2 linked regions of the Lonchura striata genome follow. The protein of the gene in region 2 interacts with the protein of the main gene of each other region in a biochemical or structural test. Links are inferred from orthologs where the notes say so. Each region holds a gene or a part of one and is shown on either strand. Other genes may lie near its edges. The genes, in order: PFN1 and WASL.

Evidence for each region.
Region 1: the proteins of WASL (region 2) and PFN1 form a complex in vitro, tested with the Homo sapiens proteins (2 studies listed by BioGRID). The link is inferred for Lonchura striata from reciprocal best matches to the Homo sapiens genes WASL and PFN1.

The regions. Positions count from the first base shown.
Region 1 is NC_134636.1:1,310,998-1,318,981, forward strand, and holds PFN1 (profilin-1), read right to left. Parts: upstream 3,276-7,984; 5' UTR 3,259-3,275; coding exon 3,127-3,258; intron 1,868-3,126; coding exon 1,675-1,867; intron 1,111-1,674; coding exon 1,013-1,110; 3' UTR 882-1,012; downstream 1-881. Other genes in the region: SPAG7 (sperm-associated antigen 7), read right to left, coding at 7,324-7,454, 7,571-7,727, 7,897-7,984. UniProt on the Homo sapiens protein: Binds to actin and affects the structure of the cytoskeleton. At high concentrations, profilin prevents the polymerization of actin, whereas it enhances it at low concentrations. By binding to PIP2, it inhibits the formation of IP3 and DG.
Region 2 is NC_134607.1:31,747,457-31,755,546, reverse strand, and holds the start of WASL (actin nucleation-promoting factor WASL), read right to left. Parts: upstream 3,410-8,090; 5' UTR 3,332-3,409; coding exon 3,218-3,331; intron 1-3,217. UniProt on the Homo sapiens protein: Regulates actin polymerization by stimulating the actin-nucleating activity of the Arp2/3 complex. Involved in various processes, such as mitosis and cytokinesis, via its role in the regulation of actin polymerization.

The sequences.
Region 1 (7,984 bases), on a different chromosome or scaffold from region 2:
GGCACGCAGAGGACCCCAACACCTGAGTCCATCCATGCTGGGTGAGGGGGGCAGGGGGGACACTCCCATCTCCCCCCACGGCCCAACCCCTGATACCCCAATCCCTGCCGTGGGGCAACTGCGGGGCCCTTCCCCCTTTCCGTGAGTCAGCCGGGGGTTGTGCAGGGGGGGGAACAGGAAGCGCCAGAGCCACCACATTGCCCTTATAAGGACTCGACTGACGGCACCGAAGCTGCTTCCGCCTGTCCGGACTCCTGCTCCAGCCGCACATCTCCCCCGCAACCCCACATCACCTTCCCACATCCCCATCGCTGCCCTACACCACCTTCTTCACCCCACATCAGCCCCGCCATCTCCCTGTGCCCCACCCCATCCCCCACATTTGCACCTCTGCCCCACATCAACCCGTCCCACCACCTCCCCAGTCCCCATCTCTGCCTCACACCACCCCCCCGAACACCTGGGGCCCTGCCTCACAGCTCGCCAGAATATCTAGAGGAGCTCCTGCCCCCCAATTCTCCTTCTGTTCCCCCCAGCATGCCTGTTCCATCCCACCGTCCCCCCCTGCTGCTGCCTGGACTCCCAGCTGACCTCTCCCCGCCTCCCCCATGAGTGCAGCCCTCCAATAAAGCCTCTGCCCCCCAACTTTGTCTCCTGAGTCGGGGGGTGGGAGGGGGAGCGCCGTGGGGCGGCTGCCGAGGCGTCACCCCCGCCCCACCGTGGACTTTGTTCCCCTGGGGCACGGCAGCACCCTTGGACCCGGTATCCGGGGCAGCCTCCTCCGCCCTGGGTGGAGGACGGAGCCGCACCCCACGGCCCTGCCGCATGTCGAGGTTCCCCCCAAAGCACCCAGATCCCCGAAATCCCTGACCCACAGCGACTCCCCACAAGGGCACTTTATTGCTGCCGGCAGCGGGGATCAGGGGCAGACAAGGGGGTGGGGGACGGGGTCCTGCTGGTCCCTGGCGGCTCCTGCTGGTCCCTGGGGGTCCGGGGGTCCCCCCCAGCCCCCTCAGTACTGGCTGCGCCGCAGGTGATTGGCCATCTCATAACATTTCTTGTTGACGCAGCCGCCGTGGACGCCCTCCTTGCCCATGGCCAGCACGATGGCTGCAGGGGTAGGGGAAGAAGGTGTGGGGGTCATCTCCGAGCCTCCCAAAACCCCCACCAAGCCCCACAAACCCCAGACAGACACGGGGGCAGCGGGGCAGGAGCTGGGATGAAGGGACACCAGGAGTTAGCAAGGGGTAATTTGTGGGGACCTGGGTCAAGGGGCAGGGGGGACACTTAACGGGAAGCAGGTCAGGGGCGATACAGGTGACAGGGCAGGTGACGTGGCCGTGTGGGGGAGAGGACACAGGGTAACACTGGGGAAGGTGGAGGGCGACACTGTGATGCCGTAAGATACATGGGAGGCACCTGTGGAGGCTTGGGGTCATATGTGGTGACAGGAACTGGTCAGCAGGTGCCACAGGGTGACAGGGAGGGGGGCAGGGGGTGCCACAGGGTGACAGGGGCAGTGCCACAGGGTGACAGGGTCTTCCCAGAGGGAGATTCCTCTTGTTGGCGATTTGGAAGGTGGGAGGTCACACGGGACGGGATGGCAGGGGGTGTGCTGGGGGGGCGATGGGGACAACACGGGCTGTGGGGTAGGGGTGGCAGGGGGTCCCTCACTCTTGTTGGTGATGGCAGCCGTGATGTTGAAGGTGGGCGCTCCGGCAGCCCCCTTGGTGCGCAGGTCCATGCTGTGCTCGCCCTCCACCAGCAGCGAGTCTCGGATGACGGAGCAGCGCAGCCCCCCCAGCGTCAGCCCCTGCACCAGCAGCGGCCCCCGCTCGGGGCCCACCAGTGCCGCCACCTCTGCTGGCTGTGGGTACAAGGGTCAGCCCATCAACAGACCCCAGACCCCCAAAGCCCACCCGTGAGAAGTGCGGCTGTGTGGGGATTGCAGGGGTAACTCCCCCTGCTCAAGGCCTGTCGCTTTTGCAGGCTGGACAGGGGTGGGGACAGGCCAAGGGGACCCCAAAGGCCCACACCCAGGGACCACCAAAACCAAATGCAGATGCCAAACCCCCAGGTAGGGCCCCTGTAGGGCACCCGGCAAACCGGGACTCTCATAACTCCCACTCCATGACCATAAAAGGGACCTAGGTGTCCCGGAACCCCCATGACTCCCGCCAGGGTCCCCACGGGAGAACCCTGAGCCCCGAGGGGTCCCCACAAGAGCACCCGAGAATCCAGGGATCCCCATGACCCCGCCTCAAACTCGGGACCCTCCAGGGCCAACGCTTCCACCAGCTGCCACGGGGGAGAACAGGTCAGGAACCCCAGGAAGGACTCCTCAAGCAAACCCCAAACCACATTTAGCCCAGAGCACCGCATGGGGACCTCACGCCCGGGGACCCCAAGGAACCCCATCGCAGCCCCTCGGGGGACCCCCGTAACTTCTCCGTGCCCCCAGACAGGGACCAGGGCTCCGGCAGGACCCCTTTCCCACCACGGGCTTCCCCAAACTTCCCCCCTCCCCACCATTTCCGTGGGGGGAAGTGGGGAGGGGGGAGGGGGTGCGCGCGCGCCGCCCCTCCCCCACAGGAAGCCCCGGCCGCCCCTCCTCCACCGGGAAGTGGCCGCATTCCGCGCATTTTTAGAGGGTTTTTAAGTGGGGAGGGGTTCCTCCGCTCCCCCACCCCCGAGACCCCCGCCATCCACTGAGGGGAGTGCAATAAAAGCGATGCGCAGCCGGGACGGAGCTCGCCGAAACACGTGGTGCTCGCCCTTCCCCCCCTTCCCCGCCCGCCCGCGACCCCCCAAAACGCTCGAAGCGGGGTTAAGGAGGGGACCGCCTCGCCGCCGGGCCCCCCCCGCCTCCGGGCCCCCCCCAGCACCGGCCCTCCCCCGGCACCGGGTCTGGGGCACGGGCAGCGCCCGCGCCCCCCCGCCGCGCTCCACGCTGGCGCTTTTGCGTTTTTCTCCCTTTTTTGTCCTTCCCGGAGCCCGTCGCGGGAGGGTGGGGGGGGGCGGCCCCGCCTCTCAGAGGCCGCCGGGTCCCCCCGCCCTCCGCGCGCTTGGGCGGGAAACGCCTCGGCGCGCTGCCCCCCCCCAGCCCCGCCAGCCCCGGCCTCTCACCGTGATATTGGCGAAGGTCTTGCCGGGGGCGGCGGCCCAGACGGCGGGGGTGTCGCGATAGCCGACGATCGCGGCATCCTGGCAGGTGCCGTCCGCCAGCAGCGTCTCCACGTAGGGCGCCCACCCGCTCATGGCGGCGGCGGGCGGGCGGGCGGGGCGCGGGGGCGCGGCCTTCCGCGGGGGGCGGGGCTTCGCCGGGGAGGGGGCGGGCTTTTCGTGCGGCGCCTGCGCGGTGCGACCGAGGCGCGGCGGCGGCGGAGGAGCGGCGGCGGCGCCGCGCGGCGGTTTTCATAGGGGACGGCCGGGGGCGGGGCCGGGGGCGCGGCCGGGGCGGGGCCGGGGCGGGGCCGGGGCCGCCGGCGCGCCCGGCCCCGGGAGGGCGCGCGGCGGTTTTGGGGGGAAGGGGGCGTTTGTTATTGCGACCCTTCCCTCGTTATCCGGACACCCTCCTCCCACTGCGCTGTTCCAGCCCCGCCGTTACTGCGATGGCCGCGCTCCCGTTTACTGGGAACCCTTCCCTTACTTGCCGCCCTCAATCCAAACCCTTCGTACTCTGCGTCCCGCGATTATCACGACGCATCCAAATTCAAACACTCCCTCCGTGTAGCGACGCTCGCTTCCATTATTCGGACCCTCCCCATCACCTCAACCCCTACTCTTTGTTGTGCCCCCTCTTCCCCGTTATCCCGACTCCCCCCCGCTATCGCGACACCCTCACGGGTATCGTGACACCCCTGGACTGATAACGAATCCCTCGTTATTGCTCCTTCTCGCTGTGTATTGTGATTCCCGGTTCTCCTGATACACGCCGTTATCGCGACACCCCGCCCCGCGCTGGGCCCGCGGTGCGCCCCGAGCGGGGGTGGCTGGGGGGGTGACAGCTCGGTGGGTGTCTGGGGGTGCAGGACCCTCGCCCTCCCCCCCGCGGGTCGCGGTTTGACTCAGGCGGGACTTTCCGGGGGGAGGGGGGAAGGGCAGCGGTTTCACTTCCTGCCCCGGGGTGGGGGAGGGGCTCGGCGGTCGAGAACGGGGAAGGGGCGGGCCGAGGCGTTCGGCACCATCTCCCCCCTCGGGGCGCCGAGGGTGCCGGGACCCCCAGACTGGGTTGGGGGTGGGGGGGGTCGAGGCCTCCTGAGGGTGCCCGTTCACCCACCCCCCCATAAAAGGACCGGCCCCGTCCCCCCCCCCCCCGGCGAGAACTTCCCCGGGAAGTGGTCAAAGCCACCGCCCCTCCCCCACGCTGTGGGGCCCATGGGGCTGAGTTCCCCCCTCCCCCACCCCGGTACTCCTTAGGGGCTGAACTCCCCCCACAAAGGACCCTCTGCACCCCCAAAATCGTGTCCCCCCCTTCCCCGTTCGCCCCCTCCCCTTGTGGCTGCTGCTGTTCCCCCCAGGGCCTTCAGGCGGCGCTCCAGCCCCGCCGCTTGGGGGTCGTGTTATAGTGACCCTTGAGGGGGGCTAACAATGGTCCCAATCCCGGGGGGGACGCTTAGGGACCATCGCCAAGTGCCACCAGCCCCGGGCTGCTGTGGCCCCACCCCGGTGACCCCAGGGGGGGCTGACTGTGACCACGGTCCCTCCAGGAGGGAGGGGCGAAGGGGAAGGGATAAATAATCCCGGGGGGAGGGGGCAGGGCAGGGCCCTGGGCAGGGGCAGCACTGGGTGAGAAGGGCCCGGACCCACCTGGGCCCCTCTGAGTGTCCTGGGTATTGGGGAGGGGGGTCTGGGCTCGCTCAGGGTCCCCCATGGGATGGGGGGGACACAGGGCCAGCTCCCGGCACCTGGACTTGGGGGTTCTCCCCATGGGAGCTCTGCGGAGTCCGGGGTCAGGCTGGGACCCCCAGGATCTTGGCCTTGACCCTTAGGTTTCCTATCCCACAGCCACGTCCATCCCGAAGAGATCACAGCCCAGGAGATCCTGGATTCCCATGGGAATCTGACACTGGAGGTGGATTTGTTTACAGCCAGGGGCTTGGAGGGGGATGCTGGGGTGGGGGGCGGTGTCACAGGGGTGTGCAGGGACTTGGAGGAAGCTCAGGGTTGTGGTGAAACGTATCAGGAGTGCCGGGGACATGGAGGGTCCCAGGGCAGGCAGTGACGGTCCCCAGGATGGGGTTGGGTTCTGGGGTCACATCGTGAATTTCTGGTAATTGGAGAAAAGTTATGGGGCAGTGGGGGAAGGGTAGGAAAGGGCAGAAGGTGGAGGGGGCACCCAAACATCAGGGTCCATCTGCCCATGGTGGGAGAGCAATTTGGAGGGGGTGGTCTTGGGGCCTGGATGCCCAGGTCCCCTTGGCCAAGGGTCAGCGCTGAGCGTGTTCGTGTATGGGGGTCTCGGGAGGGATTTGGGGGATCAGGAGGGATTTGGGGCCTGGACACCCCAGGTCTGTCTCAGCCGGGGTGGGGGTTCAGGGAGATTTGGGGATTCTGGGGGGATTTAGGCCCAACTCCCTGTGTGCACTTCCAGCACTGGAGCTTCTGAAAGCAGGCTGGGGACTGGACAAGGTGGTCATTGGGATGGACGTGGGAGGTTCTGAAAGCAGGCTGGGGACTGGACAAGGTGGTCATTGGGATGGACGTGGGAGGTTCTGAAAGCAGGCTGGGGACTGGACAAGGTGGTCATTGGGATGGACGTGGGAGCTTCTGAAAGCAGGCTGGGGACTGGACAAGGCGGTCATTGGGATGGACGTGGGAGGTTCTGAAAGCAGGCTGGGGACTGGACAAGGTGGTCATTGGGATGGACGTGGCAACCTCTGAGTTCTGCCGCAAGGGCAAATCCAACCTGGGCTTCAAATCCCCCCCTGGACCCCAAGCGCCTCATCACAGGGGGACAGCCCCACCAGAGCTTCGTCAAGGACTCTCCTGGTGTGCACTGGGATGAAACTGGGAGGGACTTTGATGGAACTGGGAGGCACTGGGAGGGGACTGGGAAGCAGGAGAGTGACACTGAGGACCAGGAGGTGCTGCAGGGCATCGGGGTGAACTGGAGCAGACTGGGAGGCACGGGGAGGGCAGCTGGGGACACTGACAGCTCATACAAGGCTGTGCCCAGGGCCGGCAGGGTGGTCACCATCCCTCTGCTACCCCCCAGGGGACTGGGCCACATTGCTGCATCTACTGCACACTGCTCGCTGTTTCCCCACAGCAGAGATCACTGGAAAGCTGGAAGTGATGCCTGGCACAGGTGGGCATCCAGGTGCTGGGCTATGGCCTGGCAGTGACCGACCCGAAGGGCACCGCACAGGCGGCCACGGCTGTGGGCACACAACTGCCTCCTGCTCGAGGTCCACCAGATCAGACCCATCGCCGAGTCCACCTGGGTGAGCGCTCTGAATCCTCGTGCAGCTCCCCGTGCAGCTCCCAGCACCGAGTCCACGCAGGTCTGATCCTCAAGTGACCCCTCGCAAACCCCTGGGTAACTCCCTCGTCACGGAGTCCATCCTGCTGTGGGTGCAGGGAAAACCTGCCGCAGCAGAGGCTGCCAGGTGTGACTGCGCACACAAACTCACACACACCGCTGTGAAAATCCCGACCACTGAATCCATCCAGGCTGAGTCTGTGCAAACCCTCCTGCAAATCTCTGAAAGCACTGGGCTCTCTGCGTCCACTCGGGTGTGAGTGCACGGCAAATCCTCATGCAAACCCTTGGGAAAAGGCTCCTCGGGAAGAGGCCTTGTGTGAAAACCTCACGCACAGCCCTCGTGCAAGCTCATGTCCCCGTGTCACCTCCCAGGCGTGTCCCGCGTGTCCCGCGTCTGCTGTCCGTCTTCCCCAAAGCCCCTGTGTCTGCTGGCCCCTGAATCACCCCCACATCGCCCCACTGAGCTCGCATCCCTCCCAGGATTGAGGACACGCTGGGGGACAAAGCCAAGTTGGGAGGGGGCAGATTCCCAAACCCCAAGGCCAAGAAGGAGGGGGAAGAGCAGCAGGGCCCACGCTGGACCCCCACCAGAGGGCTGCCCGCACCCCCAGTAAGCTCTGCAAAGTACCAGGAGCTCCCGAGCTCCTTTGTCTGGGGAGCGGGACGCACGCACACACAATGTGGGACGTGGGGGTGCCCCCCTCACCCCAACCATCCCCCAAAAAGAGACATGGGGACCAGGAGAGGAGATGAGGAGGTTTATCACCCCCTCTGCATCCCCGCCACCCTCCCCCCGCTGTTAAATACCCCCGGGGGTACCCCCCCCACCACCCCCATCACACACCGGGCCCCCCGGCACCCCCCCCGGCCCCGCCCTCGTCCTCCGCCTGCCGCAGCCGCTTCTTGGCCCGGATCTCGTTCATGGCCTCTTCGATGGAGCGCGTGTCCCGCTTGTTGGCCACCGGCACTGGGGGGGCACAGGAGAGATCCAGCTGGTGACCGCCCTCAGGACCCCCCCAGCGCCCCGAGGACAGCCCAGGTTTTGGGCTGAGGCTCAGCAGCCCCGCGGGACCCCCTGCTCACCGCAGCCGTACGCCTTGTTGGCCTCCATGGTGCGGGCGGCGGCCTTGGCGGCGTCGGAGCCGATCAGGTGCCGGTATTTGTCCTTGTAGTCGTTGGGGGGCCCCGGGGGGGTGGGACCGCGCTCAAGCTCCGCTTCCTCCTGCTGTGCCGCCAGCTCCTGCAGGGGAGGGGTCAGCAGCAAGCCCTGCCCACCGCACCACACCCACCCAGGCCGTGCCACACCCGTGTAAGCCCCGCCTCCACCATGCAGCCGTGCCCCACCCATCCTGCCACGCCCTGTTGAGCCCCGCCCACATCCCAATTAAATCCCACTGAGCCCCGCCTACCCGGAGGCGCCGCCGCTCTTCAGCCCGGGCCGGGTCCCATTCCTCCCCACGCCGATACGCCTCCAGCTCCTCGTCCGACGGCGCGAAC
Region 2 (8,090 bases):
AAATTATAAAAGTTACTTCTTTACTACAGATTATAAAATGGACACCTAGCATTTACTTTTTCTTACAAAACACATAATTATTTAAAGTAATGATTAGTAACTAACCAGAACTTCTGCAAAACTTTTAAGTTGGGCATGACCACAAAAATCATTAATATGCACAGAACTAATCTCATAGCTCCACTTAGTATAAGTATACATAAAATTTTATTTCCACATTATTATTAAAAAGTTATTGAAAACTTTTTACAGGTGGCAAATTTTACACTTTACCTAGATAACAAAGGTCACACACCTGAACGAAAATTAGTTACATGCCTAAAAAATGGGAGTCCTAAAGGGCTTTATGGTAGATACATTCTGTAAATAGTTCTATATCTGGATTCATACTTCAGCCAAATTAACTATAGCTACAGTTTTGACTATTAGCCAGTGGCTTGGTTTTGAAATCCTGATCTGTCATGGGCAAAGGTATTTTAATTGCTTATAGATTCAGATAAACATTTTACAGCTCAGCAAGTGGAGGGAAAAACAAAAGAGTAGAGAAAAAAAATCAATTACCCTCTGTATGTACACTTGCCTACTAGTGAGTTTCTCAAAGTACCAGCAGTAGTCTGCAGAATGGTATCAACCTCAGCAACACAGAGCGACAGCTCTTCACCATTTCCCCCACTCACAGGAAATTTTTCTATCAGGTATCATTACTTAAGATGCCATTGGAACTATGTCCATTTCCAAGTTCGCAGACTGTGAGTACTCAATTGAAGTTATACTACTTGATAAATTCCTTTGCTCTTCCATAGAACAAAAATCATATAGTTGAATCCTCAATGTTATTTCAAAATAGCTGCCTTGTTACCAGTCAGAAACAAAGGAAAGACTGAAATAAATCAGATTCAGAGCACCACATGCTTTCTTAACTAAGCCCTTCAGGCCTGATAGCAGCACTATGGTGCTCATTAAGAGCTCTATAAATTATTACTACAAAGAGTATCTTAAAAGCAGAATTTCATGCCTCAACTTTCGCTAGTGTTCATTGCAGTAGTAATCTAAACGAGAGGTTTAATCAAACAAAACCTAAAATTATGTCAACGTGGCTGATACACATTACATCCAGTAGATTCTCTATGCCCCACAGTGACAGAAACTCCATCTGCAGCATCAAGGCAGCCCAGATATTTAGGGTGATTGCAAGAGCAAGCATTTAGCATTCTACAGAACTTAAATTTTCCTTTCTTAAAAAACAGCACTTACAGTCTGACACTTTACTAATTAGTAATTCAAACATGGGTGTTATGAGATCAAATATCATGAACATTACAGCAAAAAGGCATTTATCAGCACAGCATGTTGAGTCAAGCTGGAAGGTCAAGAATACCATGAGTCCTCTTGGGCTCCAAGAGATACTGTGGTTTCAAGTTAGACAGCCGAGGCTGTTACCATCTCCAGGTTCTCATTCCTGCTTTGCTTAAGACAATGCCCTCCAAGGGGCAGCATATTCAATCTGTTCACTTGTTTCTGAATTTCTGGCTCATGCCACACAGTAAGCCAAAAAAGCCTGGTTAAATACCTTTAGATCTTAAATGCTCAAGTCCTCAAGATTGAGCGGAGAACCTCAACTGTACTAAAATAAGCCTATTATTAACTCAGAGAGCACAATGGGCTGGGGACAAGAGGAAACAACAGACCACAATTTTAAGAACCTCAACTGGAAAGTCATCCAATATTCAGTGTAGATCAGAAGAATGTGTAACTTCAAGCAAGCTGTAAATCCCATGACACCCAGATCCTGTGAAGATATTTACCTCTAGCCTGCTTTCAACATACTATTTATGCAGAAAAGTTGGGAGCTTAACTAGGTGAGTTTTACAGCTGAGTATAACACTTGTCAGTGTTCACCTGACAAGAAAAAAATCAAGTTATAGCAAAGCAAACTGAAAATCAATTTACACACAAATTAATGCACTATTTTTTTTATATTTAGAGAGAAGTTGATACTGTTTTTTTTTCTTTCTTAGCAAACAAGCTGAAGATATGGAATGTTTCCTGAAATTAACTGAGACATTTCCACAATTCTCTACTTTTCAAAACATATACTTTACGGTCATACCTTCTGACACATAACTCAAATTACTGTGACAGCATCTTATCTAACCCACCCCAATGTAAATATTCTCTACTTCCTGTTCCGTTGCTGCATCTTATGTTTTCCTCGCAGCAGTATGATCAACAATACTATTTCAAAGTCCAGAGTTACGTGGAATCAGTACGACTGCACGGATATCCTGCTTTAAGTCAGTTTTAAGTTCATTAAACACCCACCATAGCTTTACAGCAAGTGCCCAACAGTATTTTAAATACTGGACAAAATGCACCAGAATAGTAATTGCTTTGAAAAATACGATTTTTTTAAAAAAGGAGCTTCTTTTCCAGTGAAAGTAGTTATCTTTTGAAGTTTTCAAATAGCTCTTTAATACAGAAAAGTAGTTTTAGTACAGTTTTACACTACATGCAAGAAGGTATTCTAAAGCAAAACTTACTGATAGAGAAATGGGAAAATATGCGGGATTTGAGTACACGGACTTCTTGTTTAGGCTAAGAAAAGTACAGACTAAATCCAAAGTAGGCCTAGCACCGATACGAGTCTTCCTACAACTTCGTCCAACACTGCTTTGTTGCACCGGTGGAGCACCTGAGGTCCGTCCCAGCCTCGTCGAGCAATGGAACTTTTACGCCCCCGACCCGGCGGCCGTTCCTTTGCGGCGGGCTTCCCCTGCAGCGCTGGGTCGGCTGCAGGGCAGCGGGAGTCCCGCCGGCCCCGGCAGCTCCATTCGCCGGTGGACAGCGAGGCGCGGAAGGACGCGCTCACACCGCCGCCCGAGGCGGTCTCGGAGCCGCCTGCCTTGGAAGGGAGGCCGGGCCCGGCGCTCAGGGCCGGCAGCCCCGCCGGAGCGGGCCGGCCGAGGGGCCGCCGCCGTTCATCGCTCCCCGCCCGGCGCTGCGGGCCAGCCGAGCGGGCAGCCAGGCCTGCGAGGGCCGCCCCCCTCCCGACGCCGGGACGGAGCAGGGGAGCAGGATCAAACTTCCGCAGCCGCAACTTCCCAGCGCCCGGCCGGGCTGTCCTCACACGCCCCCGCCCGCCCCGGGCCCCGGCCCGCCGCGCCCCGGTGGGGCGGCCGAGGGTGCCCCAGTCCCCTCTCCCCCCGGCCGGACTTACCACGCATTTCTTGCCGAGGAAGCCGAAGAGGCTCTCGTTCTCCTGCGGGGTGAGCAGCAGCGAGCCCACGTTAGTGACCCGCCGCTGGGGCTGCTGCTGCGGGGCGCCGCTCATGGCCGGGGCCGGCCCGGCGCTGCCCTCGCCGCCCTGCGACCGATGGCGCCCGCGGCCCCTTCCTCCCCTTCCTCCTCCGCCGCCGCCGCCGGGGCCTCACAGCAGCCGCATCGCGGAGCCTCCCTCGCGGGGCCGGGGAAGGAGGGAGGAGAAGAGGGGCGGCGGGGAGGGTGCGGGGAGGGGGGCGGTCGGGAAAGGGGTGCCGGGCGGCGGTAGCGCCGCGCCGGAGCCGCTCCGCGCCGGGGCCGCTCCCGATCGCTCCCGCCCCTAAACTTCCAACTCCGGCCCGGCCCCGGCGGCCGCGCGATCCAACATGGCAGCGGGGGCGGGCGAGACCACGGCGCGCGGCAGCCAAGGGGGAGCCCGGCGCGCGGCCGCCGCGACCATGCGCCGTGCGGGGGGAGGGGGGGGGGGAAGGCGTCGCCTTCCGCGCCCGCCCCCTCGGTACCTGCCGGGCGGGCGGTGCCGGCGGGGGCGGGAGGAGAGGCGTGATGGGAGCCGGGAGAAAGAACGACGAGAAGGTGACGGAAAGGAGGCGCGGTCGCTGTCCCGGGGCCGTGGGAACCGCCGGGGCGCCGTGGAGGGCAGTGCCGCTCGGGGCTCCGGGCTGGGCTCGTGGGGAGCTCGGGTCCATGGGAGAATCGCCCCGAGCTGAAGGGGCCCCACAATATCTCCTGCCCGCGGGGATGCGGGAACCGGCGTGTGCTGGAAGCCCTTCAGCTGTTAGTGGAGCCTGGTGTAATTTGTAACCCAAAGTCTTTTCTGGTTTTTTGGCAGAAAGGACGCTGCTGCCCGCGCAGGTTGCCCGGCCGGGTGTGGCTGTGCGCAGCCATTGGGGAGGCGGGCGCGGCTGTCACCCCGCCGGCCAAGCTGCCCGCCGCAGGCTGGGGCGAACAGTAGGCACTTCGCGCTCTCCAGGGGCCAGCCGTGAGGAGAAATCATGTCTACAATCAACAGCCTTTGTCAGCCACGTTTCTCTTCCCCCTGCTTCTCTCCATGTGGCAGCGGTAACCAGCTGCGGTGAAGGTTGAAGACATTTCAAAACCCAAAGACCCAAAGCAGTGCTGCTTATACTCAGCTTTCAGCTGAACAAAAGTAATGTTCTCGTTTCTCATGTGCAAAGGTGGAAAACAGATATCAAAGTGAGCAGCACCTTGCTAGTTTTCTGTGGTTTTAGGTGAAGAGTGTGTCTCATTCTCTGATCAATTAATTGTGTGGGAGGTGCTAGGTGAAAGGGGGAAGGTCCCCCACTGTAATTGCTATACATTGTACAGAAGAACTGAAGAAGTACAAGAGGAAACAAACCAGGGAAGAGAGGAGAAAAAGCTGGGAACACAAGTTTTTATATGATGCTGTGGTGACTTCGTATCTTCCTAAAGATCAGGCAGGGAGAAGATGGCAGCCCCTTCTGCTCTACTTACAGGCCCTTTTGTCTGTACTTAAGAGCTTGTAACTGTGTCTAAAAGTGTAAGGAAGGGAGAATATGGAAGAAAATCCTGATTTTACACCATAAAATAGTTTGAAATGTGTGCATATACAGGACTCCTCAATCTGCAGGCCTCTCAAAAGTGACTCTAGTCTTACTGTAAAGGAAGACCAGTAGGAACCAAGTGCTTCTAAAGCATTTATCAGCAATCCTAGATTCTTCAGTTTTACATACTTTCTGTAAAGTACACACTTTCTGTGTAAGTCTGTATGTATTTTAGTGGGAAATGCTTAAGCTATAAAATATTGGCAGTGTTTCTTTCATTGCAAATGTATGTAAAAAGGTAAAACACTTGAAAGCATTTTACAAGACAGTGTTTTGTGGGTTTTTTTGTGGGTTTTATTTTTCTGAGGTTTTTTTGTTTGTTTCTTTTATTTCATAAACTAAATAATTATTGTCTAGCTGAAGCCATTTTTGGGAAATTTACATGCCTTCCTTGCTTGTGGTGTAAATAACAAATATAGTACACTGTCAATGGGTATATGCTGGTATTGTCCTTATCTTCTAATCACTTGTATTCCTTGATTATTTTTTTCTCTCTAAAAACTTTGGATGTTCCTGTGTAGATCTTGCCATACTGCCTGGGTGTTACAACTGATGCATTTTGCTTCATACTGTTCTTTTGAGACCAGCTGGCTGGTAGTTATTCTTAAGGGCCTTTTAACCTTCAGGCTTTATTGTTAGGATTTTGTTTGTTTTTTTAATAAGGGGAGGCAGGAAAGGGAAGAAAATAGGTCTATTTTCAGTCCCTGTGTTTCATTAATTATTCAAAAGCTGTTTCTGTTTTCATATCATAGCTAAGCAGCGAGTCCTGAAGGGAAGGGGAAATACCAATATCTGTCGATACATCCATAGGATTCACTGAAAAATAGATTTTTACCTTTAATATATATGTTTGCAGTAATTACAGCAAAAAACTGCTATTTCTGCATAAAATATCCAATTTGAAGCAAAGTTCTCTCAAAGAAAGCCACCGAATAGGGTTACCTGTCTGTGTTTTGAAGATGTAGGAGTGCTCGTGCTGACTTAGGGCAATTGCTGTTTATTGGAGGCTATCCTCTGGATTTTTCACTGTGCTACTTAGGGTCCAAATTGTGTTACCTATTGCTGATGTCTATGAGCTTCTTGGGAAGCTTCTCTTCTTTCATATTTTTTCATTTCAGGATACCAGTTCATAGCACCAAGGTACTGAAATCCATTTGAAATTGCATAATGTGTGTCAATATAAGTGTCTTGATTTCAAAGATCTGTATTATAAATATGTTATTTAATAAATAGATTTTATTATCCTTGTCAGAGTTACCTTTGACAGAAAATTGAATTTTGTCTTTAAATGTGAACCTCTACTGTAATAGTTCATACTTTGAGTTTCACAGTTTAAATATTCACACGATTTCAGAAGTAACATTCTACAATTTAAGATGGAGTAAGAATGTGAGGAAAACTTGCTACCTAAAGTTAATTTTTCTAGTACTATGAATCATACATTGAAGATTTTATTAATGACTGAACTATATAAGTGAAAAAAAAATTGTTTTCCAAGTATTTATTTTTTAGTAGAATCACTGCATTTCCCAAGTCTTGATCTTGTCACAGTAATGGTTTTAGGTCATGGTTTGGTTTTCTGGTTTTCCATAAAATAAAGAGACAGTTAATTACACCAAAGAACAAGCAAGGGTAACAGAGAATATGCCTTTCCATGGGAAAAAAAAAAAAATTCCTGCCATCTCTTCCATCTCATGTTATTTGCAGTGACAAGTAGGATGGTCTGGGAAAAGTGCAAACCTTGCTGCAGCAACCACAAGAGCAGGGCTGGGGGAGATCAGGAGTGAGAACATAGGATTACTGTGACCATGCAGGAGGGGTATGTCAATAGGGTAGCCTGGGAATGGACAAAAGTGAAGCAAGCTGCCTTTCCCTCAATACCCTTTTTGGTTGGGCCTGTAGAAAACACCAGTCTCCTCACTGCAAAACAGCTTCTGGTAACTGAAAATGAGGAACTGTCTTTGTGATTGGAAGTGCGTTTGCAGCTGTGAAGACACGAGTTCTCTTCTTCGGGTAAATAATATTTTTCTTAACGTAGACCCCATTGAAGAGGATTGGGTTTGCACTGTTGTTAAATAAATGTCAAATAACATATTAGTTATTTTACTGATAATGGCCTCATTCATTTCTGCTCTTTGTGTTCTGAGCCTTTGAAGTTGAGGAATTGCAGCCCTGGGAAGTACCCCCTACAGGTAACTGAATCATCTATTAAGTTAGGGTTCATTTCAAATTCAGTCACTGTATTTCCTTTCTCAAAAATTTTGCATTATCTGTTTCAGATGAGGAATAGTCTGGAACTCCTATGGTGTTTTATTTTCTCTATATTGAATTTGTATGCTGTAGATGTCAATAACAGAACGACAATTTAGCAATAAAAGTTGCCAAAGATGATGGTTAAGTTTTATTAATTGGTCAGTAAAGCCTCTGCTGATTCCATGTGGATGTGGAAGTGTGTCAGTAGGAAGCAGCTTCCCCCTTGGTGGGCAGGCTGTGCAGCAGAGTGTCCTTGCCGCAAGAGTGAGCAGGCTGCAGCCTGAGAACCAGTGCTGTGGTACAATAAGTTCTTTCATTTCTTGCACGAATTCTGCCTTAGGTGCCAGCTAGAACTTTTCCTGTAGTGCCCATTGTGTATGTCATTTGTTTTTTTTCTTGCCCTCATTTTTGACATCAGACTACTTACTTAAATAAAAGTAATTTGTGCCCTTCCAGTTTACTCAATAAAGGATAAGATTGGTTTTGCTTTGGACATAGAATTGTACTTTCGAATTATGAGGATATCTAGCTCTTTTCAGGAGCTCCTCAGCAATTCCTTTGTGGCCTGAAACATCAGATTATATTGCTCTCTTTTTCAAAACTGTGAGGAAGATGGACCAAAAACATACTGGAATTTGAGATGTCTCCCTCTCCTCTTACTTATTGATCATTGCCTGCAGCAACTATGCAACACTTCTATAGCTGCTCTGCAAATTAGAGGAAAACATTTTTTTTCCCCAGCTCAGGTAGCATCTAACCTTGCATTAGAGCTCATCTTCAAAACTGTATGGCACAGTTTTTTAAAACACTCTTTATTCTCTTTTCTTGGTTTATAACTCAGTAAAGGTATGACTTCTTGAATTTTACACTCAGCAATAACCATGAGTGGAGTAAATAAGTTACTCTTGTTTTATTTGCAGGTATTAAAGGGAATATTTATTCCTTCCTGTAAGCTTCCTGACAATTTTTGAATTC